2 linked regions of the Rattus norvegicus genome follow. The protein of the gene in region 1 purifies or fractionates together with the protein of each later gene. This does not show direct contact. Links are inferred from orthologs where the notes say so. Each region holds a gene or a part of one and is shown in the gene's direction. Other genes may lie near its edges.

Region 1 (3,653 bases):
CTGTATATTTTAATGCTTTTTGGATTGAGACTGTCCCTTGGTCCTCTTGCTTCTGCTTGAAGTGCTGGGGTCACAGGCTGTGCTAGCACGTTTGACTGTTCATTTATTTTGAAACCTGAGCTTACCGCTGTGCCTCAGCTTCTGGAATGCTAGGAGTACAAGTGTGAGCCGCTGCGCCCAGTTCAACTATTTAAACTTTTTTTCTTAACTAACTGGCAGTGTAAAGCAGATAGAGTCTAATTTGGATTGGTGCGTCCTAAGATTGAGAGCTAGTTAGCAACCAAGCCGGAGACAGACCAATATGGCTAGCCAAGGAATTTGGGGGATCTGAGCCGAGGTCCTCATGCTTGAGCAGTAGGCACTTTCCTGAATGAGCTTTACCTCCAGACTACTTTACATACCCTGAGTGAGCAGGGGCCAGAGAGATGGACGCATACTGCTTCTACAGGGGCCCAGGCTGCGTTTCCATCACTAGATAGAGGGTCTGATACTCCTGGTCTCTGAGCACTGTGCTCAGTTATGTATATACACACACTTAAATGTGATCAAGCTACCCAGGCAGAGCCAGTCACTTACTTTACAAAGTTGAGTTGTTCTGAATGTTTTTACTGGTTTACTAATGAATGAATATTAAGTTAAGCAGCATACATAATAAACTAAGTTGTATGTAATAGTAAATGGAATAGAGCTGGTAGAATACTGCATTAAAGTTTTAAAAAACCAACGTTCCAGATTCAAGACGGAAAAGGCGATGTGACCATTACCAATGATGGTGCCACCATTCTGAAACAAATGCAAGTATTACACCCAGCAGCCAGAATGGTAAGTGTACAGGAGACACGATCTCGGTCAGTAGCCCAGTGACCTGGTACGCACTGTGTACCCTTGGACTTGGCAGCCAGCCAGCTTCATCCTGAGTGCTGGGGATTATATTCGTGGGCATGTGCTGTCAAGTGTACTTGTATGATACTCAATAGAGTTAACTTTGATACTATTTAAACTGGAGAATCCTTTATCTTTATGCTAAAAACGTACATTTCTAAGATACTGTTCTCTGGGTGTGAGGTGTTCTATAAGAGAGCTTGGGGGCTTTTTCATTTTGCTTTTTTGGTTTTTGCTATGGACTGAATCCATGGCATCATGCAAGCTCACCAAGAACTATACACTACTGAGCTACGTTGACAGTTCTTAGAAAACAAGTGTTTTGAGTTAGATGTTACTGGGTTCTCATTTCTTAGCATCTTGGCATGTTCTGTTCACATAGCTGGTGGAACTGTCCAAAGCTCAAGACATAGAAGCAGGGGATGGCACCACGTCGGTCGTCATCATTGCTGGCTCTCTCTTAGACTCCTGTACCAAGCTTCTGCAGAAAGGTAGGTAGAATATAAGATAAAATACTTTTTATTACTGAAGAAAGACAGAAATATTTTTTTAAAGGCAAACATAAAAAGCCAAGCTATTAAGTAATATGGGATTTAATTTGAAGTGACTACTCTTTTGTCAAGGATTTCTATTTGCTTCTTACTTTTGCAAGGCTTCTTTTTGTAGAAATAAATAGAATTCTGCTTTTCAAAAATAAATGATGGCACTGTTACTAATCTCAGGCGTGGAGAGATGCCTTAGGTGAGACGAGCTCTTGCTTTCATACGTAGTGTTCATCACAGCAACTCTCCAGTTCCGCCTTAAAGTAAATAAATGTATTCAGTGTTTTAGAAAGCATTAAATTGGTTTTAGCTTTAATACTGCATGAAAATGTACTTCACCGGTTTCAGATTGAAAAGTTAGCTCTTAACCGTAATAAGCACTCATTTAAGCCGCTCTGCCTACAACTGAATTGTAAATTAGTTTGTGTGGTGAGCATTTGGAGCCTCTGGTATTGCTTAGTATCTGCCTTTTATTGCCGGAGGCCCTGGGATCAGCCTCAGCACCACAACAGAAAAAAGGGAAAGAAAGTATTAGATTACTCTGTCATTTTAATGAGTAAAACACTTTAATGATAAATAAGTAGTTTGTAATTAACCTGGTTCATAAATGGCAGGTATACATCCAACCATCATTTCCGAGTCATTCCAGAAAGCTTTGGAAAAGGGTCTTGAAATCCTTACCGACATGTCTCGGCCTGTGCAACTGAGCGACAGAGAAACCTTGTTAAATAGTGCAACCACTTCATTGAACTCAAAGGTGAGACAACCATTGAGGGAGAATTGAATTACAGATGATGGTGTGTTGTGATGCTGTGAGCATTGATTTGCTAAACTGTATCTAACACTGCCTCAACAAGACTAGTAATCATTTCTGGAATGGACTTGTTTTAAGATTGAGGTAAAATGATCAGTAAGGCTAACAAGAATAAGGAGTTTTAGCTGGACATGGTCGTACACACCTTTGACACTAGCTATCAGCAGGCGCAGCAGGCAGACAGATCTCTGAGTTTGAGGCCAGCTGGTCTACAAATGAGTTGAAGGAAAACCAGGGCTGTACAGAGAAACCCTGTCCTGGGAGGGGGGAAACAAAGCAAAAAGAATTAAGAGATTTTCATAGGTGCAGTATCCATTTGTATTTTTTCATTTACTGCATCTTAACACTTGTTGGTAAAGCAAAAACTGGGCTTTTAAGTTGGGAACTTTTTCACTGCCAAAATCCAAGGCTGTCATAGAATTTCTGTCAATATAGGTTTTTATTTAATATGTGAAAATGTGGAAAGTTTTCTACATCTGCTGTCCTCAGGATTTTATATAGCCATCCCCATAGAATGGGGGGAGTAAACATAGAAACTCAACGGCACACGCATGGCACACGAAGAAGATGAAACTGGTATTTGAGCTCAGTATGGATTGCCCATCCACTAATCAGCTCGTGACACATGTACTGCTGTTCTTATTTGCGAGATTTAAAGTAGTGGGGATACAAATTTCTTGGGAAAATTCAGGTGAAATAATAAAAATGTAAAATTAGGGACTGATGAGATTTCCTAACAGTTAAGAGTACTTGCTATTTCTCCAGAGGATCTGGGTTCAATTCTCAGCATCTGTGTGGCTACTCAGAACAACGTGTAACTTCAGTTCCAAGACTCCCACCGCCCTTTTCAGACTTCCCTAGGTGCCAGGCACAAACATGGTGCACAGACATACAGGCTGGCAGAATATCCGTACAGATGAATTTTTTTAGAAGTTTGTAAACAAAACTATAAAAAGTTTTATGTTGGGGTTGGGGATTTAGCTCAGTGGTAGAGCGCTTGTAAGCACAAGGCCCTGGGTTATGTCCTCAGCTCCAAAAAAAAAGAAAGAAAGAAAGAAAAAGAAAAAAGTTTTATGTTACCATCTGTTCTATTATGATTTCATCCAGTAACAAATCTTTTTTCTTGCATTCCTTTCCTCTGGTAATACATAGTAAGTTCCAGGCAAGCCAGGGCTACATGGTGAGGCTCTGTCTCTAAATAACCTAAATGGTATTAGAAACATGTAGGTTCCATGGTATAATAATGGTTAGTACTCTGGACTCTGAATCCAGCGATCTTTTTTTTTTTTTTTTTTTTTCTTCTTTTTGGTTCTTTTTTTCCGGAGCTGGGGACCGAACCCAGGGCCTTGCGCTTCCTAGGTAAGCGCTCTACCACTGAGCTAAATCCCCAGCCCCGAATCCAGCGATCTTTAAGT
Region 2 (3,653 bases), on another chromosome or scaffold:
GCTAGTCAGCTCCACAGATGCTCAGTCCAGCTGGGGTCTGGATGATGGAGGTGGCTGTCCCCCTCCCAGCCCATCCAGCTTGCTGCAGCTTGTTACTTCTCTCTCAGGCTGAGATCGTGAAGCGCCTCAGTGCAATCTGTGCCCAGATGGTCCCATTCCTCACTCAGGAGGTAAGTGCATAGAGCCTTGGGGGCAGGGAGGGCGTCCCAGGCCTGGGGAGACACCGGCTGGGGTGAGGACCAGGGGACTTTCTGCCCTTCCTATGTTCATGTGTGCACTCATAACTAGGCCAGAAGTCAGCCTCAGTGTGCCTCCCGAGGTGCCATCCACCTTCATTTGCTTTTATTACACTTTTATGCACTTATTTAATTTTATATGTATGGGTGTTTTGTCTGCGTAGCTGTACACCATGTGTGCAGTACCCGCAGAGGCCGGAAGAGTGCACTGTGTCCTCTGGAATTGGAGTTGTGACGGCTTGTGAGCCAGGAATCGAACCCTGTTCCTTTGAGAGAGCAACCAGAGCTCTTAGCCACTGAGCCAACCTATAATTTATTTTTTGGGAGGAGGTACAAGGGCCATAGCACACATATGGAGGTCAGAGGTCAACTTGCAGGAACTGGCCCTCTCCTCTCACTCTGTGGCTTGTTGTTGGCTAGGCCACAATGCTTTCACATGCTCACACACCTTGCTATCCCGTCCTTTAACTAGGCAGGGACTCTGACTGGCCTGGAACTTTGCCAAGTTGGCAATGCTGTCCAGTCAGTGAGTCCCAGGATCTTCCTGTCTCCTCACAGGTGCTAGAATTATAGACACACACTACCATGCCTGGCTTTCTTCAGGGTTTCTGGAGAATCAAACTCAGGTCCCTATGCTTGCATGACAAGTACTTTACTGATTCAGCCATTTCTCTAAGCCTGGCTCTCTGCTCTCGATGGTGCTAGCTAGGGGTGCCCCTGTACCCATGGCTTACATCTTGTAGCCTCCTGCAGCCAGGGCTGCTGGTACAAGGCCTGGCTTTGTGCTCTTGGGCAAGATACATGCCTCTCTGTGCTTATGTCCTGGTTAGGGTATCCTGAGAGTTAGGTGAGCAATTATGGGACTAATCTTACAGGGTGATGCTTGGTGAGTTGGGCCACACACGGGACAATATGCAGGTTTCCTTTCCCAAGGACTCTGAAATTATCAGATCCAGGGCCAGGAAGTGGGGGGTTGGGAAGTTCCAGAGGTGGGTGGTGGGGAAGGCCACACAGCCCTGTGAATGAGTTTCATGTCACTGAGCCTGAGCCGGTCGTGTGCTTGAAATGGCTCTGATTAGCAAGTTTTGTTAGGCATTTTTAGGACAGTGATTTTGAAAACACAGAATCAGCACAGGCAGAGGCTAAACATCAGAAAACTTTGTGTGAGCAATTCCTCACTCCTGCTGACCACAGGACCTTGGTGTTAGCCATTCCCACTTCTATGTGATGTTCCTCCAGAGACACGGCAGGTCCCACCTCAGGGTGGGCATGCTGGGTGCCCCACATGGCCAGAATCCTCAGCTTTCTTCTGTGGGACCTGCTGCCTTTCCCCTGAGAGTGGGTGACAGATCATATCACAGTGAGGCCAGCTACCAACCTGAGTAGAGCCACCAGACATGTGTGTTCAAATTTATTGACTCCATCCATATTTAATGTTGTGCTGGGGATATACACGCTGGGTGGGTCTTCCCCTGACCTGTATGCCCAGCCCCAGGTTGCACATTCTGAGGTGGGTGCTTAGTATGTGGGTACTTGGCATGTAGGTACTTAGTATGTGGGTACTTGGCATGTAGGTGCTCGGTATGTGGGCACTTGGCATGTAGGTGCTTGGTATGTGAGCACTTGGCATGTAGGTGCTTGGTATGTGAGCACTTGGCATGTAGGTGCTTGGTATGTGAGCACTTGGCATGTAGGTGCTTGGAATGCAGGTATTTTATTTTGTATGTGAGTGGTTATTCATTACACTGTCTATGCGGACAGACCGTGGTGTTACATGGACCTCCTAGCAAGTGGTTAGAGGCTGGAACACTGCCCAGCAGCCTTCAGGGTCCAGTAAGCTCCACAAAGCACTGGAACTGTGGCCCCAGGGCCTGGGGAAGAGGCCAGGTCTCTGAACTGTCAGTTAAACAGTCAGAGAGGGGCTGGGGAAGGTGGCCCACAAGCATGAGGACCTGAGTTCAAATCTCCAGCAACCAGAAGAACCAACCAGGTGTGGTGTTTCTCCTCTGTAACTGCAGCAGGGGAGACAGGGACAGGAGATCCTGGGGTTACTGGACAGATTACAGCTGGGCCGGGAGACCCACCGCAAAATAAGGTGGGAGATGGCAGTAGCACCCGCCGTGTCTCCACACGCAGAGGCACACATAGACAGACAGACAAACAGACAGACTGCACGGCCTGCTGCTCAGTGCCTGCCTTCCGCTTCCCCACTAGCATCAGCAGCAGGTGCTCCAGGCTGTGGACCGAGCCAAGCAGGTGACCGTGGGGGAACTGAACAACCTCTTGGGGGTGAGTCACCCCAGCCCATAATTGGAGACACCCTGCTCCCAGCCCAGGCACCCAGTGGGTACAGCATTCACCCTCCGTGTACCCTGTCCCCGCCACCCGCCTCCCCCTGGCAATCCTCTCCCCCTTCAGCAGCAGAATCAGCTCCAGCCGCTGTCCCATGCACCCCCTGTGCCTCTCACCCCACGCCCAGCTGGCCTGGTGGGTGCCGGGGCCACTGGGCTGCTGGCCCTCTCTGGGGCGCTGGCTGCGCAGGCCCAGCTGGTGGCTGCTGTTAAGGAAGACCGTGTGGGTGTGGACACCGAGGGGTCCAGAGGTGAGTTAGCAACTCAGCGCTGGCGGGAGGGGGACAGCTAGTAGGGCTGCAGCTGTGGGGTTCGATTTTCATGCTGTTTGTCCTTGGGAACACACTAGCTGTCTCTGCAGAGGCATCTCCCTGGGATGTGGGAGGTCAGGCTCTGACCAGGAAGGAGCTGTTTCACTCGCCGAAGCCTTGCATGGTTACAAACCCCTAATCATGTTTCCTTCTGGCTTCCTGCGTCTGCAGTGGACAGAGCTGCCAGCAGGGTGAGTGCCAGCCATGAGAACTTGCTTGTCTTTAAGTAGGCTAGGGGACTGGGGGTGCTGCCTGTCCCCAGCCTTCACCACCTGGGCGCTGTGAGGACACCAGTGCCACCACATCCAGTGTACAGGGCCTGGTGAACGAGATGTGAGCTGTTACTTTATGAACAGGGCCTCACTCACAGAGATCCTCCTGCTTCTTGGATTGTGACATTAGAACCGCCAAGCCAGCTGTGGTGTATTTAATTTGAGGCATGGCCTTGTTTTATAGCCCATACTGCATTGAATTTAGGACAATTCTTCTGCCTCAGTGTCTTAAATTCTGCTATAATGGGTGTACGCCAGCAAGACCTGCTTGGCTCCTCATGCAGACAGACGTTTTGCTTAGCTGAGAGCTCCCATCCCCCACTCTCAAGGGGTTGGCCATGGATTTTCCGTGGATTACAGGTCTCTCTGTGATGCATTTTCATAGGACTCAGTTTTCCCATCTGTACAATAGGACTATTCATTACTCTATCTGCCTCTGTAAGCTAAATAGCAGTGAAGCTGAGGTAGAGCCCTACCTAGAAT

What was found. Proteins that work in one complex are often made in the same cells at the same time.
Region 2: the proteins of Cct4 (region 1) and Tle2 purify together in Homo sapiens (affinity purification with mass spectrometry; 3 studies listed by BioGRID and IntAct, with this or other methods). This does not show direct contact. The link is inferred for Rattus norvegicus from reciprocal best matches to the Homo sapiens genes CCT4 and TLE2.

The regions. Positions count from the first base shown.
Region 1 is NC_086032.1:101,196,017-101,199,669, forward strand, and holds part of Cct4 (T-complex protein 1 subunit delta), read left to right. Parts: exon of another isoform or gene 1-732; coding exon 733-822; exon of another isoform or gene 823-1,264; coding exon 1,265-1,373; exon of another isoform or gene 1,374-1,681; intron 1,682-2,038; coding exon 2,039-2,181; intron 2,182-3,653. UniProt on the Homo sapiens protein: Component of the chaperonin-containing T-complex (TRiC), a molecular chaperone complex that assists the folding of actin, tubulin and other proteins upon ATP hydrolysis.
Region 2 is NC_086025.1:8,779,380-8,783,032, reverse strand, and holds part of Tle2 (transducin-like enhancer protein 2), read left to right. Parts: intron 1-107; coding exon 108-170; intron 171-2,450; coding exon 2,451-2,525; intron 2,526-2,654; coding exon 2,655-2,838; intron 2,839-3,069; coding exon 3,070-3,089; intron 3,090-3,653.